Canis lupus familiaris: one gene and its partners. The protein of the gene in region 1 interacts with the protein of each later gene in a pairwise test. Links are inferred from orthologs where the notes say so. Each region holds a gene or a part of one and is shown in the gene's direction. Other genes may lie near its edges.

Region 1 (4,436 bases):
CTTGGGTGTCTCCAAAGAAAGGACGCAGAAAAAGAGCGATTCCTGTTACCTGCCTACAGCGTTCTGTTGTGATGTCCTCCTGGAGTGTCACCACATTGGGAAGAGGCTTGATTGGAACCAGGTCCACTCCTGCAATAAATCAGGTCAGAAAGTTACAAAGGGATGCCCTAAGCAAGGAGAAAGGAAATGCAGAACACAATTAGTATCTCATTCTCCCACCCCTTTACCACTCAGGGGGCCCATCCGTTACTCACCCACAATAAGGCTGGATACAGGCATAAACTTAGCAGCCACCTGCAGCCTAGAAAAGAGTAATGCCGACTAAAATAACTCAAGACTACAATAACTCAAGACCGTTCCTCCCCCTCCCTTGGCAATAGGCTCTCTCACCGCGTGCCTTAAGAGGCGCTACCAAGTGCAGTGCCCCGACCTACGTCTAGGAAAAGCATGAGACTGGTATTGCCGTATCCCTCCCGCCCCCCAGTGCCACTCCAAGTCCTCCACGGCCGGGACCCTCAACGCAGCCACAAAGAGCCGCAGGTGCCGGGTGTACCCACCATCCCCCGGGCGCAGCACACAGGTCCAGCAAGGCTCGTGCTTTCTGCAGGAACTGAAAACGGCGATTCAACTGGATCAGCTTGAAAGCAGAGCGGGAGCGGTAACCTGGGGGCACCGACAAAATGTTAAACTCGGCGGGGGGCTTTCCCAGGGAGATTTCTGCGACTTCACAACCCACCACCCCGTCTACAGAACGGAAACTCAGTATTCGGAAAGGTGGGAGAGAATCGAAAACGTCCCTCCTTAGCTCGCAGACAGCGCGGACCCTGACTCACCGGTCTCCTTCGCCAAGTGATAGAACTTGTCCCGCCGGCTCTTCCCGACTTTGCCCTTCTTGCCCATAGTGGAACGGGAGGACTGTCACTTAACCTGGGGACAGAAAAATTGAAACGCCGCTTTCCGTCCCCCACTTGTCTCTGCAAGCACGGGGAATCTCTGCCTTTTTCACCACTCTGAGAGAGGCACGTGGGGGGCAGCACACGTACTTCCGTTTCCGCTTGCGTCGCTTGCGTCTCCGGCTCCAAGTTTCCGCCATTTTGAGCGTGGCCGAAAAGTTTTCTTTATGTCCTTAAGTATTGCAAGTTGGAAGTTGGGACCAGGTGAGCGGATTACCTGATCTAAAACTGAGTTCCTAGAGAGCAACATTTAGGAGTTCCGTGGCCTCCTCATCCCTTTCCAAGCTCCTGACCTCGCGTAGCCACCTTCTCATCATGGCCTCTGTTTTTGTAGTCGTCGCGACGCACACCCCGCCCATTGACCCGGAATTCTTCTCTGTCAGGGTCGCCGGGCCCCAAGCCCCTATTTTTGCGCCTGCGCGCCAAGGTGGCTCGGATGCCGGCGGCCGCCGTGGGTGAGAGAAGATGGCGCTTGACGGGCCGGAGCAGGTACGGCGGCTGCGGTGGCCGGGTGGGGACGGGGCCTCGATGCGAAGCAGGCGCGATCCGAGGTGGGCAGACGGCCGAGGCAAGGGGGTCGGGTGGGTTGGGTGGGTGGACCAATCCAGACTGGGCCCTGCGCGGGACCGGATCTGCTGTGTCAGCGCCGCCCGCGGCGGGTCAGAGCAGGGCCGGGAGAGAAAGACCCGGGGGAAGCGGAGCGAATGAGGGGAAGATGGCTCGGTACAAAGCGCTCTCGTGCATGTTGTCCCTTGATCCTCCTGAAAGTCTTACGAGGTAGGCGGCATTCTCCTTCTGCTTTGAGTTAGTCGCGGGGAAGTGGAGGGTTCTAAAGAGATGACTGAGGAATTCAACCCAAATCCCATTCCTCCAAAGTCCAGGCTTTTTTCCCTTGCATTTTGGGGGTTGGGGGGCTAATAATTACCCTGTGTCTTCAGATGGAGCTGGAAGAGGGGAAGGCAGGCAGTGGACTCCGCCAATATTATCTGTCCAAGATCGAAGAACTCCAGGTGAGGATGGACTACAGAGGCAGCTAGGAGGGGATGAGGGACTGGAGTATGTTTATATAAACCCACGTAGTCCGGTGGGGGCGCAGTGGAAGAAGTAACTGGTCAAGGATAGGAGTATATGAAGTTAAGTTTCTTGTTTCTCTCACTTCTCACCCTTTGAAGGTAATCAGTATACACGGTTTATTACACATCGTTGGCTGTCAGATTTTGACGTAAGAGGTACTCTTTGCCAAGTACTATTCCTTTTAGAAGTTTGAATTGAGGGTTTCTTATAAAAGGTAACGCGGAAGCTGGGATGAGACGTAGCACACGGGCTGGGACAGGGTGAGAGCGAGAAGGGAGACCGAAACTCCCAGTTGGGATAATGCGGACCCCATGGGACTGAATAAAAGGAGTTGGGCCACCCAGTGCCTTAGCCTGAAGAGGGGGCAGGGACCGTAGCAATAAGGGAAATATACACACTGGATGAAAGAAAGTCACAAGGACGGTTTCTGAACTCCTGGCGTATTTGCAGCTTTCATATTCGGTCTATGATTTTTGAAGTGCCTTTACATGGGATTTCCTTTGTTCTTCACAATAGTCCTGAGAAGAGGCAGGGTAGGGGACGCTAGATCTACTTCCAGTTTGGTAACATCATGACTTTTTTTTTTTTTAACATCGTGACCTTTTAAATGGTTTCCCTTAGCTTTAGCTACCTGTTAGTTGGCAGCGGTGGGCTTAGAACTTAGGCTTTGGACTCAGTGATGTTCCCACTCTACCATGTTATTTTCTTGCAAGGAGTTGACTATGTGAGGCAGCTGTGACTTTTATCAGGGCTTGCTATTCCTGGTCCATTATTAGGGCAACTAGTCTTTTTTCATGGCTGCTCTAGGCCCCAGAGGGACTCCTGGAGGAAAGGATAGTCTTTAAGATCATATCGGACAGTCTGGAACGTGCAGGTGGCCCCGTGCTCTTCTGTCACTTAGCTCGTACCAGCCTGTGAGGATCTTGGCCAAGACCATAACCTCTTGTTGTTTTCTGCTGTTTCTTGTCCTCCGTAGTTGATTGTAAACGATAAGAGCCAAAATCTCCGGAGGCTGCAGGCACAGAGGAATGAGCTTAATGCAAAAGGTGAGAAGGGAAAGATGGGAAGGCTGCATTTGGCCAGTCTGTCCAAGGTCTGTCTGAATCTGCCTAAATTGAGACTTGAGACTTCATGTTTGGTGCTTATTGTTTCTCGTATAGTCCAAGGTTACACTTTACACCGTTACGTAGTTACGGGCAGGGACCGCATGCCTCTCCCCATTGTAACCCCTTTAGAAATTAAATTCTGACTTTATTTTTGTGGTCTTCTAAAACTTCAAATTGGTGCTTAATTCATGCCTGTCAAATGGAGTCGTGAGAGAAAGGACACTGAAGAAGCTGGGTGACCCCTATGTCTGTTTCCCATCCAGTTCGCCTATTGCGGGAAGAACTACAGCTGCTGCAGGAACAGGGCTCTTATGTGGGGGAAGTAGTCCGGGCCATGGATAAGAAAAAAGTGTTGGTTAAGGTAAAAGCACGATTGACCCCCAGAGAGCAGCCCAAAGCCCAACGCATTCCCACACGTGTGTGTAGCATTGCCAAGACACTCTTCTATTATTTTAGGACTCCTGGGTCTTCCTGGGCGAGGTGGGTAGTTTGGTGGTTGTCAGGAAAGGTCACGAACCCGTTTCTGTAGGTGCATCCTGAAGGCAAGTTTGTCGTAGATGTGGACAAGAACATCGACATCAATGATGTGAGTGCTGCAGGTGAGGTGGGAGGTTGGGCTCAGCTCTTAGCACACTACCTCCTAAAACTCTTCTCTTACCCAGGTGACACCCAATTGCCGGGTGGCTCTAAGAAATGACAGCTACACTCTGCACAAGATCTTACCCAACAAGGTAGACCCACTGGTGTCACTGATGATGGTGGAGAAGGTGCCAGATTCAACCTATGAGATGATCGGTGGATTAGACAAGCAGATAAAGGAGATCAAAGAAGTAATTGAGCTGCCTGTCAAGCATCCTGAGCTCTTTGAAGCACTGGGCATTGCACAGCCCAAGGTGAGAAGCAAGATTTCTATGGAAGGGTCATGCTGTTACTGGCATGTCCTGCCCTTGCCAAAGTGAGTACAGGGCTCAGGGGAGGTGTCTGGACCCCCACTTAATGCTGGCCCTCCCCATGGAAGAGGGGCTGGAGAATGCAGCCAGGGCACTGAGGTAGTTCAGAAAGCAGCACTAGAAAGGACCTTGACGTTCATGATTTATACCCCTGGTATCTAGCACGGGATCTAGCCCAGGGTCAACACCCAGTAAATGTTCACGGAGTGTAATGTGGGGATGGCTTCTGCCCTGAGTTCTGCTGTTTCTCTCTAGGGGGTGCTGCTGTATGGACCCCCCGGCACTGGGAAGACACTGTTGGCCCGGGCGGTGGCTCATCATACAGACTGTACCTTTATTCGGGTTTCTGGTTC
Region 2 (4,500 bases), on another chromosome or scaffold:
GCTGGGCTCTGCGACTTCGCGCCCCGGAGGAGGCCGCGCGCTGGAACCCGGGCTGGGGCAATGTGACCCCAGGTGTCCTTTGCAGCGGAGGAGGAGGCTGGGGGGGTCTCTGGGGGTGCAACGCACGCTCGAGCCCCCGACCGCCCCAACCCGGTTTTCCAGGCCACAGAGCCGCGCCTGAGGTCCCACAGCGGCCGAGGTCTCCCTCCTGGGAGCTGCTGGCTACAGTCCTTCCAGCGCCCCCGGTCCCCCCCCCCCCAAGTCTGCGCTGGAAAATCACCCGCTGTGGGCAGCCAGTAAGCCCAGCTTCCTGGGGGAACCGAGCCTCGTCTAACTTCCCAGCTCGGATTTGCGCTCCCCCGGGGAACTCTCTCCACCCGGTACCCTCAACTGACCACCTTGTCCACATAGCACCCCCGGAATCGCATCCCACTCCCCGGGCCCCAGCTCAGAACTAGGCAAACGAACCCATCAGATATCCTTGCATGGAGGCTCTGCCCAATATTCACTGGCTAGCGTCTCAGATTTGACGGTATCGCTAATGTCCCTAAGTATGGCCGAGAAAAAAAAAATGCGCTTTTTTCCCTAAAAATAAAAAACCAAAACAATTAAAATTAAAATACCCAACATCGTAGATAAAGTAGGTTAGCGTACGTATTCCCTTATTTCGGATTTCCCGACTTTTCTGCTTCCAAATGCAGTAACAGCCCTAGTACTGCTGCGGACTGGGGGCTTGAGGGTCTGCTTTCACGGGGTGCACTGAATCAGGGTAGAATCCGGAATGGCCGGGGGCGGGGGTGGAGGCGGCGCATTCCTTCTGGGGCTGAGGCTTAAGCCCTCGGGCTGTGTACCTGTTTCTCCCATACCTGAGCCCCAGCACATTTCCGGGGCGCCGTATACTGGTAAAAAGGCGCTCCCGGCCCATCCCCCCACCCCGCCCGGGGAACAAGGGTCCGCATTGAACCAGGTGCGAATGTTCGCTCGCGTTCTTCTCCTTTCCCGCCTCCCCTCCCCCGGCCGCGGCCCCCGCCTCCCCCCGCGCTGCACCCTCGGTGTTGGCTGCAGCCGGCGAGCAGTTCCCGTCAATCCGTCCCCCCTTACACAGGATGTCCATATTAGGACATCTGCGTCAGCAGGTTTCCACGGCCGTTCCCTGCGGTCGTGGGGGGAGCCGTCCCCGGAGTCCCTCGTCTCGGGGGCTCCACGGGACCCCGGAGACCCAAATTGCTGATCGCTCAGGAGATAAGGGACCACATTAAGACGGGCAGTGGGGGGCGGCGGGGGCGGCGGCGGCGGCAAGGAGGCCGAAGGCGTGCGCAGGTCGGCCGGCCACCCCCCTGGCGCCGCGATGGTTGCGCCCATGACGTGGGTGGGGGCTCATTCATAGAATGCTGCTATAAATGCGGTGCTGCGGCGCCTCGTACTCCAACCGCATCTGCAGCGAGCAGCCGAGAAGCCGAGACGGAGCCGGCGGCCGCGGCGCAGCGAGCGAGCAGTGACCGCGCTCCCACCCAGCTCTGCCCCACAGCTCCGGCCTGTCTCCGCCCCTCAGCCCCTCGCCCCGGCCCTGACTCACCGCGACCATGATGTTCTCTGGTTTCAACGCCGACTACGAGGCGTCCTCCTCCCGCTGCAGCAGCGCGTCCCCGGCCGGGGACACCCTCTCCTACTACCACTCACCGGCCGACTCCTTCTCCAGCATGGGCTCTCCCGTCAATGCGCAGGTGAGGCTGGCTTCGCGCCGCCGCGGGGCCCGGGGCAGGGTCCGACCCCAGGGCGGAGACTCCGGGGCGGGACGCTCGGGAAGGCGAGTCGGGGGGGAAGCTGCCCTACCGCGGGACCCCCGGACTCGGTGGGGCGCACGCGCGCTGTCCTAGCGAGGATCGGCCCCCCTCTCCCGCGGCAGGCCCGGCTGGGGCCGCCCTCGGGCCGCGCTCCCTGGCATTACCCGGGGCGCAGCGTGTCCCAGGCCGAGACTCGCGAACTAGCGCCTGGCTCCTCCGGGAGGCGACGGGAAGCGGCAATCCCCCCGCCCCCACCCCTCCCCGCGCAGCCCGGAGCCGGGAGGAGGGGCGGGGGAGGAGGGTGAAGCCGGCGGGTGTGTAAGGCAGTTTCATTGATAAAAAGCGAGTTCATTCAGGAGACTCCGGAGCGGCGCCTGCGTCAGCGCAGACGTCAGGGATATTTATAACAAACCCCCTTTCAGGCGAGTGATGCCGGAGGGGTAACGGGGACGCAGCAGCAGGGTGGAGGAGAAACGCGCTGCGTCGCGGGCTTCCTGGGAGGACACGGAGAGCCCCCTGCCTCCAGGACGAGGGGCACATCAGAAGCCCCGAGCAGTCCGGGGCGTGCTTCTCCTCCGCTCTCCGCCGCTGCATGCGGCACTGGACGCCCGGCCCGCCGCACCTGTGTCCGGAACCTGCTCCCTCACGTCAGCTTTGCCCCCTCTGTTCCGTTCTAGGACTTCTGCACCGATCTGGCCGTCTCCAGTGCCAACTTCATCCCGACGGTGACTGCCATCTCCACCAGCCCGGACCTGCAGTGGCTGGTGCAGCCCACCCTGGTCTCCTCCGTGGCCCCGTCCCAGACCAGAGCCCCCCACCCGTATGGAGTCCCCACCCCCTCGGCTGGGGCTTACTCCAGGGCTGGCGTTGTGAAGACCATGACGGGAGGCAGAGCTCAGAGCATTGGCCGGAGGGGCAAGGTGGAACAGGTGAGCGGTTCTTCCAGCACCTTCTCTCAGTAGGGGGCGTGGGTTGGCATTGGTGGAGCTGGGGAGCACCGTGGGCAGGGCGAAGCCACTGATGGAGTCACCACCTATCTGTCCTCCACGAGGAACCCTGGCTCCAAGCCATTTCCGTCCCACGCCGGACTCTGATAGTCCTACCCCAAGAAATACTCTGGTAGTATTTCTTCCCTCATAGGCTCCTTCTCCAGCTTTTAGACCGGGCTCTTCTTTGTTCTCTTGCTAAGGATCTTATTTTAAATGCAAGTCACACCCAGCCCGCAAGTGCAGGTTAGAAATGGCTTCCTCGCAGGGGTGCCAGGAAGCTGGGAAGCTGCAGGGACCAGTTTCACCCCGGGGTGGCTGAACCCAGCTGATGGCAGACCTTGTTACTGACTGTTGGCCTTTTGGAAATTGTTTTTCTAGCTGTCCCCAGAAGAAGAAGAGAAAAGGAGAATCCGAAGGGAAAGGAATAAGATGGCTGCAGCCAAGTGCCGGAACCGCAGGAGGGAGCTGACTGACACGCTCCAAGCGGTAGGTAGACCCTGTGGGTCACTCCTTTTTCAAACTTAGGGGGAAAGTTGGAGACTGGGTATCCGGGAGCAGGGCCCTTGAGTAGGCCCGCGTCTTATGCTTTGCTCTGTCCCTCTGGATACAGGAGACAGACCAACTAGAAGACGAGAAGTCTGCTCTGCAGACCGAGATTGCCAACCTGCTGAAGGAGAAGGAGAAACTAGAGTTCATCCTGGCAGCTCACCGACCTGCCTGCAAGATCCCTGATGACCTGGGCTTCCCCGAAGAGATGTCCGTGGCTTCCCTAGATCTGAGCGGGGGCCTGCCCGAAGCTGCCACCCCGGAGTCCGAGGAGGCTTTCACCCTGCCCCTCCTCAATGATCCTGAGCCCAAGCCCTCCGTGGAGCCCGTCAAGAGCATCGGCAGCATGGAGCTGAAGGCCGAGCCCTTTGATGACTTCCTGTTTCCAGCATCATCCAGGCCCAGCGGCTCGGAGACCGCCCGCTCCGTGCCAGACATGGACCTGTCTGGTTCCTTCTATGCAGCAGACTGGGAGCCCCTGCATGGTGGCTCCCTGGGGATGGGGCCCATGGCCACAGAGCCCGAGCCTCTGTGCACCCCCGTAGTCACCTGTACTCCTAGCTGCACTACCTATACGTCTTCCTTCGTCTTCACCTACCCTGAGGCTGACTCCTTCCCCAGCTGTGCGGCCGCTCATCGCAAGGGCAGCAGCAGCAACGAACCCTCCTCTGACTCGCTCAGCTCACCCACGCTGCTGGCCCTGTGAGCAGGCAGGGAGGGGAGGCGGCAGGCACCCTAGGGTGCTACTGCCCAAGTTGGTGCATTACAGAGAGGAGAAACACGTCTTCCCTCGAGGGTTCCCGTAGACCTAGGGAGGACCTTATCTGTGCGCGAAACACACCAGGCGGTGGGCCTCAAGGACTTGAAAGCATCCACGCGCGGCCTCAAGTCCTTACCTCTTCCGGAGATGTAGCAAAACGCATGGAGTGTGTATTGTTCCCAGTGACACATCTGAGAGCTGGTAGTTAGTAGCATGTTGAGCCAGGCCTGGGTCTGTGTCTCTTATCTCTTTCTCTTTAGTCTTCTCATAGCATTAACTAATCTATTGGGTTCATTATTGGAATTAACCTGGTGCTGGATATTTTCGAATTGTATCTAGTGCAGCTGATTTTAACAATAACTACTGTGTTCCCGGCAATAGTGTGTTCTGATTAGCAATGACCAATATTAAACTAAGAAAA
Region 3 (4,564 bases), on another chromosome or scaffold:
TGAAAACCAATTCTTTTTGTATCGTATATTTCTTACATATTCCCAATTTAGTAGTAATTATAGCATCTCATTGTGACTTTTACTTTCATATCTCCTTTACTAAACTGTGAACCCCATGACATAGGAAATATGGTTTAATTTTCTTTGTGTCCTCAGTGCCTTAGTCACTGCTGGTTGACACAAAGCAGGTGCTCAATATATATTTATGGGGCTAATGAATATATACTCATTTTATTGTAGTAAATAAATATTCATCTTATTGCTGTCCCTTGCCAATTAAATGTATCCTATAAACTATAAGCTCTCTACCCTTAGATCATATAAAATACATTCTAGGGGTTAGCTTTGAACCAATAGCTTCACTTCAAAAGCCTAATTTCCAAAGACTGCAATAATACCCCTGGTGAACATCCCTTAACAAAGGGTAGGCAGTCTTTAACTTGTTGTTGAATGAAAGCTCTTTGTCCTGTTTTGTTTTGTTTTAGAGAGTGGGGGACAAAGGGAGAGAGAATCAAGCAGGCTCCACACCCAGCAGAGTCTCACACAGGGCCCCATCTCACCACCCTGAGATCATGACCTGAGCTGAAATCAAGAGCTGAACACTCAAGGGCCTGAGCCACCCAGGCGCCTGAAGTTTCCTTGTTTTGAACAGCACATAGAAGAAAAGTGAAATGACCAATGTAATAAAACAAACAAGAACTAGGAAAGATACAGTAAAATATAGGGGAGATATAATAAGGTGGAGCTCATTAACATTATAAAGACTGTATTCAAAATTTCTAGAATTTTTTTTTTTTTTGCTAAAATAAAGAAAGAAAGAAAGGAGAAGGGGGAGGGGTAGAAGGAAAAGAAAAGACAAGACACAAAAAAAAACACGAAACAAAGAACGAAGAACACCAAACCCGCCCCGACTAAAGACCGCCCGAACGCAAAACCCCCAGTCCCTCCGAAGAAAGAAGGATAAGAAAGAAGGAAAGAAAGATTTTAATACACAAGGCATTTCAGGGCACTAAAATTTAGAAGAAAATATTTGTTTGTTGAATTTAAGCGAAAAATGGACCATGCCAAATGCAATTTTTGAGAAGGATAGTTCCTACGGTTGGATTAGGAAAACTTCTTGATCAGAAAAACTGTTTTTCTTTCAGAAAATGACAAGTAAATTTCTGAGAACAGATATCATCAGCCCATGCTGGAAAGAGATAATGTATTTTTATATCAAATAACATAAAATGGACGGACAAAGATTGTATTTATCACACGACTTGAAATTGTTCATTGTTTTAGTTTGTCTTTGCTTTCCTGTTAATAAACAGGCTTTGTAATTCCCTTATGCCAATCCTATTACTTGTTCAGAGCTATTTCTGCAAGGGTCATCAATATTCAAGGATCTTAAATCTGAGCTTAAACCTATTCAAGTTCAAGTGGAGTTCTGTAAACAAGCTTCTCATCCACTGAACATAAGCAAGGATACCAGGCACAGAGAACCAAACTGTGAGTCTGCAGGTGGTCTTCTTGATATCATTTTGAAAATTTTACCTTAAAGGAAAGAATAATTATTTCACTGCTTATGGATATGTTGTGTTCTTTTAAAATATTTCAAAGTAACATTAAGTAATGACTTATCTAACTATAAAAACAAATCCTAGATATATTTCCTTCTTAACGAGATTTGCACTAGTCATCTTCACTAATGTAAATTCAAAGTAAAGACATAATTTTAGGTCTGATATTCTAGACAGTTAAAATAAAGGGACATGAACAGGGAATCAATTGTGAAATTTAAAATTCTTCAGTCCTCCCTTTGAGTGAAGAGAGAATTATGGGAAAAAAAGGATTTTTGTATTTGAAGATTTGACTCCTAAGCTGTGAAAGGAGTGTTATACCCAGTGCTAAAGCACTCTCAGACTTGGGACCAGGTACTTAACCAGTCGTGTGTTCTTGGTTTGTTGTTGTTTGTTTTTTAATATTACATTTTGGAAAAAAAAATTACATTTTGGGTTTTGGGGAGGGAAGGGTTGGGTTTTTTAGTCTTGAAAATAGGGATAATAATGTCTGTTTCAGTTTACTTCAAAAATTTAATGGCACAGAAATAATGTTTTTAAAAGAAAAGAATACAGGGATTTTGTTGATGTTTGGTAAATAAAATTTTTCTTTTGATTGTTTTATATTTCTCCAATTTTGCTTCCCTGGGGAGGTGATTATGATTATTAATAAACGTTACAGTTTGCATCATGAAAATGAATGAAGTAAAATTTCCCCACTGTTTTGCCATGGAATATTTTTATTAACTGCAAAAATAGCTTGTAATTACAACATCCATTTTAAATATATGTATTTTTGGCCATTATACATGCTACTTAGAATAACCTAACATTAAAGCTAGAAAAAATTTTAGAGACCACCTAACTCATCGTGGTAATATTTTACTTAAATATGCTGTTTACAAACTGCATTTGACATTATAGGAGTTGTCAAAATATGTATGAACCATTAACGATAACGTCTATAATGGAATTATAACAATAAATGGTAAGTCTTTTTACAAGATAGAAATTTCAAAACAAGGAATCTGCTTTGAGTTTCCAGCAAGATTCCAACATTTCTATTTGCTTCAAAACAATTAAGAAAATGTCTGTATGTAGTAAGAGCAAACCTGAATAGGCTAAAGTCTTTTTCTTTTATTAGGAGCAAGAATTCAGTTATAATTTGGAAGCTTGTATTTTCCCAGAATATTTGTAGCTGATGATACTGGTAGACAAACAGAAGTCTGCCATGCATTCCTGACATACAAATCATTAAAAGGCTCCTAACATCTCCCATCTGTCCAGTCTCACTTGAAAAAGCAAAATTAATTGAGAAGAGTAGGAGCCAAGAAAACATAATGTATGCTCTGCAGTGTCTTATATAAAAGTTTCTATCACAGTTCTATTAAAGTTGTTATAAACTTTAGATACTAGGGAGAGTAAAAGTAATACAGGGATGTTTTCAACAGCATCAAGATGTGTGTTTTACATGTAACATTTGCTTAGCCTCAACCATTTGCTCTACATTTATTTATTACAGCCATTCTGAGGATGCTGTGTCCTATAATCCATTCATAATTCTGGGGATTTAGTTTTATCTTTTTTAAAAGATTTTATTTATTTATTCATGAGAAACACAGAGAGAGAGAGAGGCAGAGACACAGGCAGAGGGAGAAGCAGGCTCCACGCAGGGAGCCGGACATGGGACTCCATCCTGGGTCCCCAGGATCATGACCTGGACTGAAGGCAGCACTAAACCGCTGAGCCACTGGGGCTGCCCTGGGGATTTATTTTTAAAGAAAACTCTTATGATAATAAAAAGACCTGCCCAAAATTAACAACTAAAGGTGGCAACAAAAATCCTGAATGCTGTAACTGTCTCTGCAAAGTCTTCCTCCATTAAACAACTGAAATTTAGAAAATATATGTAAACAGTTATGACATAAATACTAAATGAAAAATCAAATTTAAATCACCACCTGCCATTTCCCACTTACATATTTTCAGAAAACCTTCTTATTATTGTTTTCAAGTAATTTCATGTACATTTTATTAGCCTATATTTCATGACTCCAAATTAATTTCCCCTTTAGTAATAAATCTCTCTATTCTTAAATGCTTTGTGGCAAACAGACCTTACTAGAAGCAAATCAAAGTATTATGATAAGAACTTTAGTCAGTAATAAGATAGGAGAATATAAAACAATTTTGAGATAAATGTACAATATACATGTGACCATGCATATACACACATACATACACACAGACATATTCTTTGGGTGGATGAGATAATTAGGCTTAAGCGGTGCATCTATGCATGGATTCCTAAATAAAATTTATATTAATTTGACTACATCTATTATTAATTTTGAATATTTTGAGTATTTTAAATTTTAATTATTTACTAATTATCATTTTTGCTCAATATCTATTAAGTTCCTACAACTAAATACTACACATTTATATACTTCATATCATTTAATCCTCACACAGCCTATTGAAGTAGATACTACTATTACTCCAATTTTATAAATAAGAAAACTAAAGCAGAGAATTTTTGTGATTTGCTCAAGGTCACACAGCCAATAATTGACAGAGCTAGATTTGAACTCGAGTGTTTATGTATTAATCATTATGCTATACTGTCACTTGGAAGCATTGTAATGCATGGTTCATGCCCACAAGCAGCTTAGCTATTCTTTGGAGGTGAAGGCATACATAAATAAGTCAACTGGAGAGTAATTCAAGAAATTAACTGATATACAATGAGGTAGAAAATTCCCTCTACGTTGATGTTGAACATAAGACCATATATCATTCTTACTAAAAATCTCCAGTTCTCAAAGTCAATAAATAAAATAGAGGGGTGGGATAGAGAAAGAAGAAATTATGGCTTGGGGGAAATCATTGGAGCTATCTTTATGATTTGAGAGGCAATGCAAGTCTCCACAAACCTAGTAATACTCCTATGATCTGACATGATGCTGTCAGACCCATTTAATGTGAAATTCCCACCACTTTTTTTCATAGTAAAGGAAAAG
Region 4 (4,681 bases), on another chromosome or scaffold:
TCAACACTCCTGTGTCTCCGCTTGAAGCACATAAAATTAAAATGTTGTAGTCACAATTTGTTTCTTGACTATTTTATATTCAGTAATTTTTAATGAAGCAACTAAATTAGGCATAACTTAGTGCAGCTTTAATGTGGTTATAATGAATATATTTTACTTGATTAAAAATGATAAAACCAGGGAGCCTTAAATATTATCTTAAAAGATTAACTACTGTGTCAATTACAAATCTAGGGGAAAGGTATTTATAAGAGAATAACTATTCTGAACAGTGACTTCCTTCTGTTCATTTCATTTAATTAAAGACTCAATCAACTTTCACTCTTAATACTAAAATTTTCCTAAATTACACATTGGCTTGCAAATGGAAGGGCATATAGCAGGGCTAAGTCAATTTAGCACTAGGGAGGATTCAGCAAGTAATCCATTTTCTTATTTAAACAGGGAGGGACAAACTACTTGGCCGTGTAGAGTGCAGTAATTAACTAAATAATCGCCAATTTTGCATTGCATTTTTTTTGTCACATGACATAATATGAATAGAGCAAAAAATCAAATTATTTGGGCAGGTGAATGATGATGAGGCCTGCTCTGCCAACAGGTACGCTAATGAGTAGAAGCCTCAATGGCTTAAGACTGAGTAAGAGAAGCAAATTTCTCCCCTCTCTGCTTTGTAGGGGACCAATTAACCTACTATGGTGGGGATGGGGGCGGGGAGTAGATGTGATCACTATGTGTTTACTGTGTCCACTGAGAGAGGAAAACTTGCAAAGGAACAGGTTTGACATATGCACTGGATTTTTATCAAAATACAAATAAATGGTCATAGATGACAGTTTTCACCTAAGGAATACAAAATACTCACGTTTAATTGTCAGTCTCCAATAAATAGAGAAGTGTCTTCTCAAAGCCAGGGGCTTAAGAGTCCTCCCTCCTAGAGCCCTACACGTTTGTCAAATAAACAGCACTTACACAGTCATCCCTCTGGCCTCAGCCATCTCCCTGGCACCACTGAGGTAGCCACAGTTGGGGCTCTTACCCTTGAATAGAGGTAGCGCAATGCCAGGAGATTTTGCAAATGCTAATAAAAATTTCCTTGACGAAAGAAAGTATTACAACATTTTTAAAAAATAATTAAAAAAAAAAAAATAAAAACCACCCTGAAGAAATCTTAAGTGTGTCGTGCTTCCTGTTTTTAGGATTCGGGGCGGGAAGCATCTGAAAGATGGTTTTCAAGGAAGCGGATGGCCCTTGCACGGGACTGCAGTTTGGTCACGCTCAACGTGATGGAAATTGATTGGCGTTTTGCTGCCACGAAAAGCCCCGCCAGAAATTCGGAGTTTACCGAAAGAGGACTCTGCAGAGCGCTGCCAGGCACTCAGAACTCACTCTCGGGGCAGGCGGCGGCTGCGAGAGACGGACGCAACGGGGGACCCGGGCAGCCGCACGGCCGTCGCCTCCGAAAGGACTGGGCAGCGCCTTCCCCCGCCTCCGGGGTCGGACGTGAGTGTCCCCTGCGGGTCGGCGCCCCTCGCGGGCCGGGCCCGCTCCTTTGCCCAGCTCGGACGGTCTCCCCGGCCAGTGTCAGCTCGGGCCGGCCGCGGGCCGCCGCGTCCCGCACCCCCGCCCGCCTCCGGGAAGCGCGGCCCCTCCCCCGCGGCCCCGGCCCCGGCCCCTCCGAGCGCTGCCGGGCGCTGATAGGCGGCGGCGCTGACAGCGGGCGGGGCCTGGGAGTCCCGGCCAAACCCGCCCTCGCGTATAAGCCCCTTCTCGGCTCTCTCTCTCTCCATCTCTCTCCTCTCTTTCTCTCTCGCTCCCTTCCTCCCTGTAACTGAACAGTGAAAATTCACTGGATCCGCTAACAGGCACAGATGTCATGTGAAAACGCACATGCTCTGCCATCCACACCGCCTTTCTTCCTTTTCTGTTTCCTTTCCCCCCCCCCCACCCCTTGCTCCTTCTCCTTCTTCTTTGTAACTAACAAAACCACCACCAACTCCTCCTCCTGCTGCTGCTTCTGCCCTTCCTCCTCCTCCTCAGTCCAAGTGATCACAAAAGAAATCTTCTAAGCCGGAGGCGGTGGCATTTTTAAAAAGCAAGCACATTAGAGAGAAAGAAAAAAGAAAAACAAAAGCAAAACAAAACCCGGGCACCAGCCAGACAGCACCTTTTTTTTTTTTTTTTTTTCCCACCCTTCCTGAAAACAAACAACCAAACAACCATCAAAACAGTCATCACCACCATCATCAAAACTGTTAACATAGCGGCGGCGGCGGCGGCGGCGGCAAACGTCACCCTCCGGCCACGGCGTCCGCCTAAAGGGATGGTTTTCTCGGCGGAGCAGCTCTTTGCCGACCACCTTCTTCACTCGTGCTGAGCAGGATTTTTGGGCTCTCCGGGGTTCGGGCTGGGAGCAGCTTCATGACTACGCGGAGCGGGAGAGCGGCCACACCATGCGAGGTAAGCGAGCCCGCGGACAGCGAGAGGGTCCCCGGTCCGGCCACCGCCGGCCCCTGCGGAGGGGGGAGGGGAGCGCACCCCGCACACGGGAAGGGGCTCTCGGGGCGCGGGGCTGGGGTCCGCGCTCGCAGGTGGGCTGCCGATGGCCTCGGGCGTGCAAAGTTGTGGGAAGGTGTGGATGCCTCTCGGGAGTTCTGGAGGGACGCAGGAGGGCGCTTTTTGGAGAGAGGAGCGGCGCTAGTTGCTTCCTCCCGGGCCAGGAGTTTCGCCGAACCGTTTGTGCTCGTCGCTCTCGGCTGCGGCCGCGGACGCCGGGTGGAGCGGGAGCCGGCGCGGGCTGCGGCCCCACGAGGCGGCTGGGAGCCCCCGGCGCGCGGCGGTGGCCTGCGGGGCTGGGGCGCGCGGGGCGCACGGGCAGGCGGCGGGGCGCGGGGGCGCGGGGGCGCGGGGGCGCGGGCGCACGGACTCACGGACTCGGGCTGGCCCGGCCCTGCCTCGCGGCAGCGGTGGGCAGGGGGGCGCGGGCGCGGGCGCGGGACCCGACGCGGACGCTGCATCGGCCCCCGCGCCCGTCCCTTGCGCCGGCGCTCCGCCCTGGCCAGGTCCGCGTGCTGGAGCCCGCGCGGTCCACGGACGAGCGCCGCCCCGAAAAAGTTGCGCAGAGAAAGTTCCAGAGGACTGAGAAGCCGGCGCCCCCCGCGGCCGAGGATGCTCTTTTTGTCAAGGGGCCGCTGGGTGAGCCCCGGAGCCGAGACCCCCAGCGGCGGCGGCGGCGGCGGCGGGTCCCTGGGGCGAGCTGGCAGCCGCGGGGCGGCGCGCCGGGGGCGGGCGAGAGAGGCTTCCCCTGGGTCCCCTCGGCGCTGCCCAGTGGACGGCCCGGCCGGCTGGACGGAGCCACTACGTCGGTCTCCTCCCCGGCAGTGCCGGGACCTTCGGGTCTCCAGCGCGCTGTGCTCGGACCCGCTCCCCCCCACTTTCTGCTTGGCCACAACTTTACTCTTTTCTTGAAGAGCGGGCCGAGAGCCAGCTTGCCGTGGGGACGTGTGCAAGTCTCCGGGCACCTGCCTCGCCCCGTTTTTTCTTCCTGGCCACTCTACGGCTCTTTGTGGGGCTCTCCGCTACCCGTCGCACGCCCTCCGGGGCCTGGCAACAAACAGAAAGTTGGAGAGGCCAGCCCCGGGCCTCCCTACGTCCCTGACCCGGCGACAGGTGGACTAGGCAGGTAGAGCTAGGGAAGGTCGGACTGCAAACGCTCCTCGTCTTCTAGCCGGCAGTGCACCTCTCCCACTCGCCCCCGCCCCCCGCCCCCCGCCCCCTCCCCCGCCAGCACCTACCTCTCTAGGAGGGCCCTGGGGGGCGGGGCGCAGCGGGCTTGCTCTCGTGCTCCGCACAAAGTGAACCCCGGAGCTTGGAGCTTGGACGCCGGGGCAGGGACTGGCTGGGCGCTGGGACGTGGCAGGAAAGGGAAGGAGGGGGAAGAACAGAGAGGTTGTCCAGGGAAGTGAGTGGGAGGGAGCTAGCCATCCAGGTGGGGTGATGGACCCCGCGAACTCGGAGTGGGAGCTCCGGGGCTTGCGAGCCGGTTCCGGTTGAGTGTCCCAGTTGGGGGTTTGGTCACATGCGGCATCGTCCAGATTCTCTCAGAAAATTGTACTCGGGCAACTGGCGAGTATAGAACCTGTAAGGGAAAGACGCCCCCACCCCAGTCTTTGTTTTGCTGTTTCTGCCCCGTCTCACCACCATCCCCCTCCTTTCGGCTTCCCCTGCTCGGGTCTGGGGCCGCCGGGTCGCCCTTCCCTTACTTCTCCCCTTCCAACATTCCTCCCACGGCAGGACCACGTTCTGATGGTCGGAAACCACGCGTCGTGTCGGCTCCCACCCGGCACTAGGACCTGCGGCGCAAAAGCCGCTCGCTCTCCCCCTTAAATTAAAGAAAGCGGCGGTGCGGGGCAGGAGTGGGTTGTAGCTTGATCGCGCTGCTCCTGAAGCAGCACTATGCCAGACAGTCCGGATCGCCTCGGGCTCCAGCAGCCTGAAGGCTTGAAAGCCAGGCGCTCGCCTAGTGCTCACCTTCAGAAACCAGTCGACAGCCCACACTCACTCGCTTTCCAGAAGGCTGTCACCCTCGCCAAGCTGCCCAGAAGAGTTTACAAGTCCTAACTTAAAGCGGCTCTCCGGCGAGGGGGAAGGGGGTGGGGGGTGCTCGCCCTGGAAGAAAAGG
Region 5 (3,926 bases), on another chromosome or scaffold:
TCACTGTTGATGACATTCATTTGTAATATTAATAGGCCAGGGACTCAAGGCCCTGGGGAGAATGTCATCTGAGTGAGGCCAGCCACTCACATCACAACAGCTTGTGGACTTTTTCCTGTAGGGTACAACTAGGACACCTCAGGCACTCAGTGACATAAAAGCACAGCATGGTAGAGGGGAAAGCACAGAGATGTAGCCAGATCTAGGTTCAGATTGTGACTTAGCCACAGGCTGACTCTGTGACATTGCTGTTAAGTCAATTAAACTCATTGAGGGGGTGGCTCCATGGTTGAGCATCTGCCTTTGGTTCAGGTCGTGATCCCAGGATCCTGGGATCGAGTCCCACATCAGGCTCCCATAGGAAGCCTGTGCTTCTCCCTCTGTCTATGCCTCTGCCTCTCTGTGTCTCACATGAATAAATAAATAAATTCTTTAAACAAACAAACTCATTGAGACTTAGTTTTCTCACCTGGAAAATGAGGATAACTGCCTATGGACAGCTCTAAGGGCCAGAGCTTAAAGCCCCTAAGTCAAGTGCTTGACAACACAGTAAACAAATGGAAATTACTATGAATTAGAAAATGTGGGGATTCATAATCAAGCTGGCCAGCTTCACAGACTGAGAAGTCAGGAAGCCTTAATATGTCTTGGTTCTCCACTGTACCCGGATCCCACCTTTCCTTCTTCCATGACAAAAGTTTTAGTCCTAATGTTTTCCTCAAACAACTGTGCTGTGACTTCCTCCCTGCCCTGATCCCAAAGCCTCTTGTCTATTCCAGTGAGCTTGTTCTTAGAAGCATATCATTTGATGAGACAATACATATGTGAATAATGAACTTTGACTTAGTGGTTTGTTTTTTTTTTTTTAAGATTTTATTTATTTATTCATGAGAGACAGAGAGAGAGAGGGAGGCAGAGACACAGGCAGAGGGAGAAGCAGGTTCCATGCAGGGAGCCTGACGTGGGACTCAATCCCAGGTCTCCAGGATCAGGCCCTGGGCTGAAGGCGGTGCTAAACCACTGAGCCACCCGGGTTGCCCTTGACCTAGTGTTGACTCCACACAGGGCACTCTTCTTCTCTTGATGTTACTTCATTTCCTCATGTACCCCTCGTAACCACCCTCTGAAGTAAATTCTATTATCATCCCCATTGTGTAATAAAAACTGCTATGTTGAGAAGTAAGATCACTGCCCATGGGATGGAACCATGATTTGAACCTAGGCAGTCTGGCTCTAGAATCATGCTCTTGACTGTGACTCTGTGCTGGCCCTGAGATATTGTTCTTGTTTTGTGTCATGTGGGTTTACTCTCAGGGCTTTCCTTCAGTGGAGTCTAGAGTTTGAGACTTTTGCTGAATATTGGTCTTCAGGACCAAAATGAGCCCATGGAGTCTACAGTCAGCCCACCCTATAATTGATTTCAGGCTTTTTCCACTCCTGGTCACCAGGAGTCCTAGGTCTCGATCATCCCTTGCATGTCTTTTGTGAGGGCAGAGCAATTTAACCCTCTTTAACAACATGATCTCAGTTAGAAGCTGTTAAAACTAAACAGCTCTGTGATGGCAGGATCCACATTAGCATTGTTTCATACTGTATCTCTACAGCCTACATCAGCACCAGGTGTCTAGTAGTAGTTAGCATTCCACTATTATTCCACAATAATATTTCACAACTGCTTTATTCCACAAAGCAGTTGTGTGGATCTACGGATGGTGTTCTTACAAGAAAGGTATATACTATTGACAATGAGAAACTGATATATTTCATGGGTCTTTGGCTATATCTCTTACTTACCTTTCTTTAGGATCTAGGGGTCTCCTAGAATTATATTTTATCTCGTTGGGCATCTCATTCCAAAAGAATGGGTTGAAATCCCGAATTTGTTTATAAAACGTATGTAACATCTTGAAAGAACCTAGGTTAGGACATCATAAAACAATGTGTCTCTAAAAGAAGCAAGAAAAAACATTCATTCATTCATTCAATCAATATTTATTGAGTATCTGTGGCCTATCTGGTTTCCTTTTAATAGATTAAAACGTTGTGGTACACAAAACAGAAAAACTCTCCCCTCCTGGTCAGTTCATTCTAATGGGAGACTGACAAAGCACTCTCACAAAAACTTAAGTGCCATGGAGAAAACTTAAAGCAGGATGAGGAATATGGAGAAAGATTACCCCAGAGTGGGGGGACATGGCTATTTAATATAGGATAGTTGTGGCTATTGTGAAATTATTTGTAAATTTGATTCTATATTAGAATATAAGAATTTAAGAATAGTCAATATAGGGGAATAGCCAGGAGCTAGGAGAGCTAGATTAATACCTGAGATTTTTCATATAATTTGATAAAGAAGAAGATATTTTTAACTTGTGATATTTATTTATTTACTTACTTACTTACTTACTTATTTATTTATTTATTTATTTATTTATTTATTTATTTATTATCTATCACTCTATCTTTTTTTTTCCCTTACAGAATTAGCAGCTCTGAATCATTAAAGTAATAGCATTTCCCAGCCTTAAATTGAGACGCTCAACAAAAAAGGCATCCTTCTTGTAAATCAACACAACAAGATGAGAGGTGGAAAAATCATGCTGAGAAGAAGCAAGGTCATATGTTGAACTGTTTTGCCTTTTGCCCAGAAGACAGCTCAGACTCAATCCTTGCCCCATATTTACCTCCCTCACTTTGGTTCAAGACCTGAAGTGATGTGTTCCAGCCCCAGAGCACCTTTCATCCTGTGAGGCCTGAAACATGACCACCAGTAGCCACGCATGTCCCGTCCCAGCAGTGAATGGACACATGACTCACTATCCAGCTGCACCCTACCCATTGCTCTTTCCACCAGTCATTGGAGGACTTTCCCTGCCTCCCCTCCATGGCCTTCACGGCCACCCTCCTCCAAGTGGATGCAGTACCCCATCACCTGCAAGTAAGTACCACTGCAATTTGGTCTTTTCTCTTGGTTGGCTGGCTTAATGGATGTCAGAAAACAAGGTGTTTCATATCCCTGGGTAAGTTTTTATTTTGGGGGGGGGGGGGTTTGGTTTCTCTTGGTCTGCAATTGTACTTTTAGTTCTATTGCAGAAATCTAATTTGAAACCTGACAAATGATGCGTTTTAGAATGTGGTCCATTCAAAACTCTGTTTTATTTTGCTCCATTTCTTAAAATGTAAACCTAAAAAGTAATCAGCAGATATGTATGACTAACATTCCTGAAGAAATTGGCCGCTTGATAAATAATGTGGACAGAGGATTAGAAGATGATTCCATAAAAATCACTTAACAATAATGCTGGACTTAACATCAATTTTGGTTGTGAGGTCTTCTTTGAATCTCTAACTCTGCTCCTGGGTATAGATAGTATCTTTAATTGTTTAATTCATATCACATAAGCTTTTGTGAGTGTCTTCATTCACTTTTGGTTCTGTACTAAGCTGTTCCTTACCTCTGCTCTTAACTGGAATGTTGGGTATAAAGTATTATAAGATAAAAATAGAGTTAGAATTGTTCAAGACTGATACGACTTACTTATAGAAAACATACATATTATGTGATTTTTTTTTTAAGACCTGCCTATTTCCGCACAAGCTGTGGTTAGCCAGTGAGCTCTTTCGCCTTTGAGAAATAGGTTGGCCATATGACACCTGGAGGTGACAAAACACATTTATCCTATGGGGATGCATCAGGGTGCCATAGTGCCTTCTCCAGACTCTTTCACAGCTCAACAATAACTTTTGAGAGCTCTGTCTGGTGATTATTTCAAATTTTACTGCTCTTTAAGGAGTTCTTACCAGTATTGGCTTGGTACTTAAGAGATTTTCTTTTGAAGTATTACCTTAATTGTTTTGATATTTTGGTCTTTGTGCCTTAACTTCTTCTTCCCACTATGTTGTTAGCTCACTGGGAACAGGAATTT
Region 6 (3,926 bases), on another chromosome or scaffold:
AAAACTAAATTAGGAAGTGGGTATGTAGAAGCAATTAAACAGAATAGGTTAGAGAATAGCAAAACATCACATTATTTACCTTTGAGAAAGCAGGTAATACCAGCAGCCAGCCAGTGTTGCAAAGGGAAAGCAGAAAGCAGTAAGAAATCGCAAGGCATGTGAAATAGGATTGAGAGTCAGAGATGCTGGGATTTGAATCCCAGCTCCAACACATCCTAGCTGTGAAACCTCTATGAGAATTTATGTCCATTTATGGAAAATGGGGAGATGAAACAAGACAATGATGTCATAAAGCATCTAGCTCAAAGCAGGTGCACGATAAATGATTGAGTCCCCTTTTCTTCCCTTCCTCCAGTAAAGTAGTGTTAAATTCCCCCAAGGTAAAATGATTGCTCAAAAGAAGTTCCTACTTTGCTACTCTCCGAGGCCCAAGGGTAGAGAGTGGCATGTGTTGCTTTCCTGACTCATGTTTTCACCTGCTCATAATATCTTTTCCCTGTCCCTTTGCCACCAAAATGGTAAAAAGAAAAATTGGAGGAGACAGGAAGGGACTTGGAAGCAATCATTATCACCCGAGTGTTCATTTTTAATCCTCTAGCTTTTTTTAATCCATTTCCAAAGAAGGATTTTTTTATAAAATAGGAACAGTTAAAACAAACTGTGTCTGGGGCATGGGTAACCGTGTCTGCTAATGTGCTTCACTCCTCTTACAGCAGCGGGAGGTGATGTGGCAATTGTGTGCCATCAAAATTACGGAAGCTATACAGTATGTGGTGGAGTTTGCCAAACGCATTGATGGATTTATGGAACTGTGTCAAAATGATCAAATTGTGCTTCTCAAAGCAGGTATGTGCTTTGCAAGTGAATTTTGAGATCTCTTCCTAACCTGCTTTCACCCGCTTATTAAAGAAATGCTTGGTAAGGAAGGTGTCGGGAACAGTTTTTCTCCAGTGATAATAGCTTGGGTTTCTTTTAGCAGAAACAGAGTCCTTTTAAAGGTTTTTGAGCTATCTGTGGGGAAACATTCCCTCCATTTTGCTTCTCCTCTAAGTGAAACGATTAATTTGAAGGGCACTCACATTCTCCCATCTTACCGTCACCTGTGTTTGTTTCTACTGCACCAGACTCTCGGGAGGGAACAGCGAGTTGTTAGGAATGTTATTTGTGGAACTCAAAGGGCCACCCCTGGTGTTTTGGTTTGTTTAATAAATGTGAATCCATACGTTTTCCTGGCAACTTAGATAGATTCTGTTTGCAAGACAGAAGATTGCCAGAGAAGTAATTTGTAACTCCATCTCTCTTCAGGACTACAGCCTCCATTAGCTTCAGCATGAATCTTTAATTACACTGGTGAACTGGGTCCCTTTAAATAGAGAGCTGGTGTGACAGAAAGCCCCTGGCTCCACTGCATACAGCCCCGCTGTGCTGAATCAGAAAGGGGTCTCTACATTAGTGCCTTCACAATAGATTAATATTCACCACGAGAAGATAATCCACACCATTTCTGCCTTCACTTAGGTTCTCTAGAGGTGGTGTTTATCAGAATGTGCCGTGCCTTCGACTCTCAGAACAACACCGTGTACTTTGATGGGAAATATGCTAGCCCCGACGTCTTCAAATCCTTGGGTAAGGAAATCTGGGTGCTCTTTTACATCAGGGCTGTAGGAAAATGTGGGAGCCCCGCCAAAGAGCTCACTGAACAGAAGGGAAGCTGTTATTTGGAAACAAAAATTAAAGGATTTTATACTTCTGTTACTTTATAGTCACTGCAGGAAATTCACACAGCTCAAACGCTCTTTGTCTAGATTACATTTAAAAGTTTAGCGTTTTCGTTGGATCTAGTTGGTGATCGAAGAAATTTATATGGTCTAACCTTCCAGTTCCCTTCCAGGTTTTAAGAACCAGATTTTCCTAGGATAAGTTATTCAGATAAACTAGAAGATGTGATTTGATACATAAAATCAAGCAAAGATCTAAATGTCTGCCCTTCTGTACTTCTCAATAACAACCATTAGTAAGAATGAAATGTGGATATCAGAGAAATAAAGCATAGCTAAGTGAAAGTGACATATACTATAAAAATTACTTTGGATTTCTGGAATTTAAATAAAGTGGAATATAATCAAGAAGAACAAAACAGTATCCAAGATAAAGTTGTTAGGTGATTTTAAAAACAGTTAAATGACCAAAGGCCATATACTTTAGGAAAGCCCATTAGTTTAAATACATATACATAATATGCAAATCTGAAAGAGTGGATACCAAACTTAACCATTTTTTTAAAAAGATTTTATTTATTTATTTGAGACAAATAAAGTGAGCATAAGCAAGAGGGAGGAACAGAAGGAGAGGGAGCAGCAGACTCCCCACTGAGCAGGGAGCCCCAACTTGGGGCTGGATCCCAGGATCCTAAGATCCTGACCTGAGCTGAAGGCAGACACTTAACCGACTGAGCCACCCAGGCACCCCCAAACTTAACCAATCTTTTGAGGATGGATTATGGATTATGTTATGAGACTTTCACGTTCAGAAAAGTGTTTTCAGTTTTGTAAAAGGTATAATGATTTTACCACCAGAATGTGTCATTTGTTATCATTTTTAAGAGTGGTTTAGATCAAATAGAGTAGAAAACAAAAAAATCAGTGAATGTAACATCTCAGTTGGATTGTAGCCGTTTAATTCTTTTAATTCTGTTGGTTAAGATTGTGGGTTCTGAATTCAGGCAGCCTGGTTTTTAATTTCAGGCTGTTACTTCCTACCTGTATAACCTTAAGTACATAATTTTTCTGTTTCCTCACATCTAAAACGGGGGTAATAATAATACCTCCCTCATAGAGCTGTTGTGAAGAAATAAGTTACCCAAAGAAAACCTCTTAGAGTGGTACCTGATAATATACTAACCTTGCCACAAAAGTCCACTCTCGTTATTTTAAATGGTCAGGATTATAGTGAAGGTGATGATAGCTAAACGGATTCTTCTTTTTTTAAGATTTCAAACTGTTAAGTTGTAGAAATGTTACTATCCCCTTGTTTTGTTTTCTTTCTAAGATTTATTTATCCATTTATTCATGATAGACAGAGAGAGAGAGAGAGGCAAAGACACAGAGACACAGGCAGAGGGAGAAGCAGACTCCATGCCAGGAGCCCGACGCGGGAGCTCGATCCTGGGACTCCAGGATCGCACCCTGGGCCAAAGGCAGGGGCTAAACCGCTGCGCCACCCAGGGATCCCTATCCCCTTGGTTCTTAAATTATTAGATCCCTCCTCGCCTTATTCCATATTTTTCTCCTAGGGTAATAACCAAAATCCCAAACTGTCTTTAACTTTGGCAGGTTGTGAAGACTTTATTAGCTTTGTATTTGAATTTGGAAAGAGTTTATGTTCTATGCACCTGACTGAAGATGAAATTGCATTATTTTCCGCATTTGTACTAATGTCGGCAGGTAAGATTATCAAATAACAATGAAATGGTTTAAAAATTGTCCAGGTAAAGAATTCTTACAAGATACATAACTTTTAATGACTGTAGACTTTTCAGGTGTTACCAAGAGAGGTTGCCACCTTATTAAATCTAAGTTTTATCAAATAGCAACCTTCCCCCACACACATACATGTACATGTTTAAGAAGACCTCATGCCATTCTGATAAAATCTTAATAAATGAGAACTGAGTAAAACCCAGTCCATAATTAACCTCCTGATATCATGAGAAATGCTCTGGTAGAGTAGGGTTACCCTTCTTAACACAAATCTCCCAAGATAACATGGTTTTTAAGATATCCTACTTTTTCTTAAGATTCATTTGGATGTCATCCACAAGTTTATCTGAATTTAATCTATGTTTTCAACTAGTACTGCCTCTTGGGATAATCTGTTTTGCAAATTTACTGTCTTCTGTTTGGAACTTTTACACATAAAGACTAAAT
Region 7 (3,926 bases), on another chromosome or scaffold:
AGAGACAGGGTGTAAGAAAAGCAGAAAAGGAGAGTGGGGCCCTTGAAGCAGGAAAGGGCAGGGATTTGTTCTGTCAGCCAATTGTCCAGAGAACTTCCCTTGGTGTTTGGTATATCAGAACCCATCTGCTCTGTTGGTGAAACAGACCCAGATACAGTGAGGGTAGCACACAAGAAGGTACTATGTTTGCCCTAGGCAGTCAAGGAAGGCTTCCCAGGGGAGGAGGTGATGCTAGAGTCCTGAGGGATGAAGAGTTCACTAGCTGAAGGAGGTGGGAGGGATATTGTAAAGGAGAAAGCTTCACAGGGTGCATGCATGGTGCAGTGGTTGGATTCAGGCCAGGCTTTCAGGGAACAGACAGAGACACAGGTCATTCTGATGATGAGAGTCCTAAAATAAGCAGATCTGTGGAGACCATGAGAGCTCATGGGGGCGGAGGGTCTTGGAGGAGGTGAGATTGGGGCCAAAGCTTGGAGATGCAAGGAGGCTGCGATCTGAGCACAAGAAGGAGAGTTCTGGGTTGGTGTGGGCAGTGGTGCCAATTTCATTATGGCTGGAGTGCAGAGTGCAAGAAGGCATGGGGCTGTGAAAGCCTGGGCCCTGTGGAGCCATGGGGGGTTTTGAGTAGAGGAGGCATGGAAGGTTTTGAGTAGAGGAGTCAGACCTCAGTGAGACAGCAAGGGGGATCAGGGGGGCACAGGTGTGCTTTGGGATCTGGGAAGGCTTGTTGGAGAAGGGAAGGCCTCAGGGGATGCAGCAGGAAGGGGAAGGGCGTTGCATGCAGAGGGAACAGCATATGCAAAGGCCCAGGGGTACAAAGGCACATGTCATAGCCAGGGAACCATGAAATGTGTGTGTCTGGGAAGGAGGAGAGAAGTTGCTGGAGGATCTGACGGGCCAGATGGAGAAGGACTTTGAATGCTGGGTTGCTTGGACTTAAGGATGAGCTCTGGGTGCTAGAAACACCGCTCTAAAGTCATGAAGGAAGATGAACTGAAGGTAAACAGCCAGAGGTGGCAGGGGGCCAGGAGGAGGCTGGCATGAAGGTTCACAGGAGAGGGGCCGAGGCCTGAGCTAGGGTGGGGAGCATGGGGTGGAAACTGGGGAACAGACTGGGGAGATGCCCAGGCAAAGAGGCCAGACTTGTCACTGGGGCAAGGGGAGGGAGAATGTGAGCACCGCTGCCAGGGGTCTGGGCCATATGGCCGCCACTCAGTCTGGGGGAAGTTGGTGAGCTCAGAGGCAGCATGGTTTGTGAGAAGGCAGGAAATGTCAGGACGCACCTGTCAACCTGAGTCTGGAACCTCAAAGAGAATCTGGGCTGGAGACAGAGTTGGTGAATCCTTGGTAATTGATGATAATCGAAGTCACTCGAATGAATGACATGCCTTGTGGGAGTGTCCTGTGAACGAATAAAAGGGCAAAACTTTTTAAAAAGAAAAGATTTTATTTATTCATGAGAGAGAGAAAGACAGAGACAGAGAGACAGAGAGACAGAGAGAGAGAGAGACAGGCAGAGGGAAAAGCAGGATCCATGCAGGGAGCCTGACATGGGACGCCAGGATCATGCCCTGGGCCAAAGGCAGGTGCCCAACCGCTGAGCCACCCAGGGATTCCCAAGGGTGAAACTCTTTAAAGGGCTCTCTGGGGACCAGTAGACAGAGGTGACAGCGAGAGGAGTAGGAAGGAAATCAGGTGAAGTTTCTGTTTTAAAAAGCAGAGAAGAGAGAATTCTAATGAAGGCATGGATGGAGGGCGGACCCCCCCTCAGGGCAGCACCACCCAATACGAATATAGTGCAAGCCACATATGTATAATCTATGTATATAATTTATGTATAAAAATATATATTACAAGCAACATTTTAAAAAGTAAAACAAAACAGATAAAATTAATCTTCATAGGATTTTTCCATTCAATCCACTATATCTGAAATTTTATCATTTCAAGATGTAATCAATTGATAGGCGGCATCATTAGTGAAATATTTTACATTTCTTTGAACCAAGTTTTCAAAATCCAGTGTGTTTCACAGATGGCACATGGAATCGCAAGTCAGACCAGCCAGTTGTCAGGTGCCCCAACCACACGTGGCTGGTGGCTGCCAGGGTAAACAGTGCAGCAGCAGCAGCTGGGGAGCTCCATCAGGGAGCTCAGGCTGTTCATTTATTCCCCTTCTCCACCCATCAGGCCTGTGGTCCCTCCACTGATCCCCCCCAAGATCCCAGAAGGGGAACGTGTGGACTTCGATGTAAGTAAGGGACATCCAGTCTCCAGGTGTCTTTGTGCAAATTAGGAAGAGGCGCCCCTGGGTTCTCCCTTCTTTCGGGAATCCCCTAAAATGGACCTAGTGTGGGTCGCTAGTGCCACCTTCTGCAAGCATCGCGAACAGCGGCCCCCTGACTCCCTAAACTGTCCCAGTCCATCCCTGCCCCCAAGGGCCCTGCCCTGACTTTCCTCTGAGGTGCGCACAGGTGGGTGCGGGTCCCCCACACTGCCTGGGGATGACACGCTCCCCGCCCCCCCTCCGGCCTGCAGGACATCCACCGCAAGCGCATGGAGAAAGATCTGCTGGAGCTGCAGACGCTCATCGACGTGCATTTTGAACAGCGGAAGAAAGAGGAAGAGGAGCTCATTGCGTTGAAAGAGCGCATTGTGAGTGGAGGGAGGTGGGGTTCTGCTAGTTCCTCCCTCATCCTGTGAGGGGCTGGGCTGGGAATGGTTCCCAGACAGTGCAGGCCCGAGGCTGAATCTTGAGGGAACTGGCAACTGGTGCAAGTCCATGGCCACACTCAAACTAGCTCATCTCTGCTCTTGACCTCCTTGGGAAGGCAGCGTCCCTGCACCCCCTCATTCTTCTCTCCCCCCAACACCCCCCTCCCGCCCCAGGAGCGGCGCAGAGCTGAGAGAGCTGAGCAGCAGCGCTTCCGAACAGAGAAGGAGCGTGAGCGTCAGGCTAAGCTGGCGGTGGGTGCCTCCCCTGCCCTTCCCTGCCCTGCCCAGCCCTGCCCTGGAAGGGAGACCAAATGTTACTTCTTCAGCTGGATGCTCTGTTTCCCATTTGTCATATTTTCTGCTGTCCTGAGAAAGTCCTTGTGCTGTATTATTCAAGGATCTTTCCTTTGGAAGGGACAGAAACCCCAACCCAAACCGGATTCAGCAGAAAGAGAATTTTATTGGCTCATATAACCAAAAGAAAAGTGGAGTGTGACTTGCTTCAGGCATGGCTGGATCAAGAAACTCAAGCTCACAAAGACTCAGCTTTTGTCTTCCTATCCCTGGGCCCATTTTTCTGTGGACCCTAGGGTGATGAGGTCATCATGGGTGTGCTTGGGACTTTCCTGGCCTGGGCCTTGAAAATCCTGTTCCCATCAGTCCCAGGGAAACCAGATGGCTGGTCACCCTACTGGACATCCCGTTCTCAGGCAGGGATGGAAAGTGACCATCAGAAACTCTGGCTATAATTCCTCTTTTATCTGTCTTCTGCATGATTCTGGGATGAGTGCAGATTGGTCACCTGTCCAACTTGGAGCAAATTGCTAGCTAGTTGTAGGAGACTGGTTAGGATATTCCCATTGGCGTAGGCTCTGGATATGTGATCTGCCTTGACATCAAGGACTCCTGGAAGCACTTTTAAAGATTAGGAGTAGTGACATGGTAGGCAAAGTACTGGTCTCCCAAAGATGCTCACATCCTAATGCCCAGAGTCTATGAATATGATACCTTGCATGGCAAAAGGGACTTTGCAGGTGTGATTAATTTTTTAAAAAGATTTTATTTATTTATTCATGAGAGACACAGAGAGAGGCAGAGACACAGGCAGAGGGAGAAGCAGGGTCCCTGCTGGGAGCTGGATGTGGGACTCCATCCCAGGACCTCCTGTCAGGACCTGAGCGGAAGGCAGACATTTAACCAACTGCGCCCCC

Evidence for each region.
Region 2: the proteins of PSMC5 (region 1) and FOS interact in a two-hybrid assay, tested with the Homo sapiens proteins (3 studies listed by BioGRID and IntAct). The link is inferred for Canis lupus familiaris from reciprocal best matches to the Homo sapiens genes PSMC5 and FOS.
Region 3: the proteins of PSMC5 (region 1) and PDC interact in a two-hybrid assay, tested with the Homo sapiens proteins (2 studies listed by BioGRID). The link is inferred for Canis lupus familiaris from reciprocal best matches to the Homo sapiens genes PSMC5 and PDC.
Region 4: the proteins of PSMC5 (region 1) and RORB interact in binary tests that used the Homo sapiens proteins (3 or more experiments, as listed by UniProt). The link is inferred for Canis lupus familiaris from reciprocal best matches to the Homo sapiens genes PSMC5 and RORB.
Region 5: the proteins of PSMC5 (region 1) and RARB interact in binary tests that used the Homo sapiens proteins (3 or more experiments, as listed by UniProt). The link is inferred for Canis lupus familiaris from reciprocal best matches to the Homo sapiens genes PSMC5 and RARB.
Region 6: the proteins of PSMC5 (region 1) and nuclear receptor ROR-alpha interact in a two-hybrid assay, tested with the Homo sapiens proteins (3 studies listed by BioGRID and IntAct). The link is inferred for Canis lupus familiaris from reciprocal best matches to the Homo sapiens genes PSMC5 and RORA.
Region 7: the proteins of PSMC5 (region 1) and TNNT1 interact in a two-hybrid assay, tested with the Homo sapiens proteins (2 studies listed by BioGRID and IntAct). The two-hybrid records come from large-scale screens. The link is inferred for Canis lupus familiaris from reciprocal best matches to the Homo sapiens genes PSMC5 and TNNT1.

What each region holds. Positions count from the first base shown.
Region 1 is NC_049230.1:15,140,399-15,144,834, reverse strand, and holds the start of PSMC5 (26S proteasome regulatory subunit 8), read left to right. Parts: upstream 1-1,339; 5' UTR 1,340-1,418; coding exon 1,419-1,442; intron 1,443-1,891; coding exon 1,892-1,963; intron 1,964-3,003; coding exon 3,004-3,073; intron 3,074-3,396; coding exon 3,397-3,494; intron 3,495-3,662; coding exon 3,663-3,719; intron 3,720-3,795; coding exon 3,796-4,026; intron 4,027-4,338; coding exon 4,339-4,436. Other genes in the region: pre-rRNA 2'-O-ribose RNA methyltransferase FTSJ3, read right to left, coding at 50-129, 255-301, 558-663, 834-900.
Region 2 is NC_049229.1:48,647,605-48,652,104, forward strand, and holds the start of FOS (proto-oncogene c-Fos), read left to right. Parts: upstream 1-1,423; 5' UTR 1,424-1,583; coding exon 1,584-1,724; intron 1,725-2,461; coding exon 2,462-2,713; intron 2,714-3,151; coding exon 3,152-3,259; intron 3,260-3,383; coding exon 3,384-4,025; 3' UTR 4,026-4,500. UniProt on the Homo sapiens protein: Nuclear phosphoprotein which forms a tight but non-covalently linked complex with the JUN/AP-1 transcription factor. In the heterodimer, FOS and JUN/AP-1 basic regions each seems to interact with symmetrical DNA half sites.
Region 3 is NC_049228.1:19,394,626-19,399,189, reverse strand, and holds the start of PDC (phosducin), read left to right. Parts: upstream 1-1,433; 5' UTR 1,434-1,491; intron 1,492-4,564. UniProt on the Homo sapiens protein: May participate in the regulation of visual phototransduction or in the integration of photoreceptor metabolism. Inhibits the transcriptional activation activity of the cone-rod homeobox CRX.
Region 4 is NC_049222.1:84,344,098-84,348,778, reverse strand, and holds the start of RORB (nuclear receptor ROR-beta), read left to right. Parts: upstream 1-1,738; 5' UTR 1,739-2,453; coding exon 2,454-2,460; intron 2,461-4,681. UniProt on the Homo sapiens protein: Nuclear receptor that binds DNA as a monomer to ROR response elements (RORE) containing a single core motif half-site 5'-AGGTCA-3' preceded by a short A-T-rich sequence.
Region 5 is NC_049244.1:18,937,120-18,941,045, reverse strand, and holds part of RARB (retinoic acid receptor beta), read left to right. Parts: intron 1-2,481; 5' UTR 2,482-2,760; coding exon 2,761-2,938; intron 2,939-3,926. UniProt on the Homo sapiens protein: Receptor for retinoic acid. Retinoic acid receptors bind as heterodimers to their target response elements in response to their ligands, all-trans or 9-cis retinoic acid, and regulate gene expression in various biological processes.
Region 6 is NC_049251.1:25,739,218-25,743,143, reverse strand, and holds part of nuclear receptor ROR-alpha, read left to right. Parts: intron 1-713; coding exon 714-846; intron 847-1,518; coding exon 1,519-1,626; intron 1,627-3,332; coding exon 3,333-3,443; intron 3,444-3,926. UniProt on the Homo sapiens protein: Nuclear receptor that binds DNA as a monomer to ROR response elements (RORE) containing a single core motif half-site 5'-AGGTCA-3' preceded by a short A-T-rich sequence.
Region 7 is NC_049222.1:103,248,566-103,252,491, forward strand, and holds part of TNNT1 (troponin T, slow skeletal muscle), read left to right. Parts: intron 1-2,190; coding exon 2,191-2,251; intron 2,252-2,538; coding exon 2,539-2,655; intron 2,656-2,889; coding exon 2,890-2,967; intron 2,968-3,926. UniProt on the Homo sapiens protein: Troponin T is the tropomyosin-binding subunit of troponin, the thin filament regulatory complex which confers calcium-sensitivity to striated muscle actomyosin ATPase activity.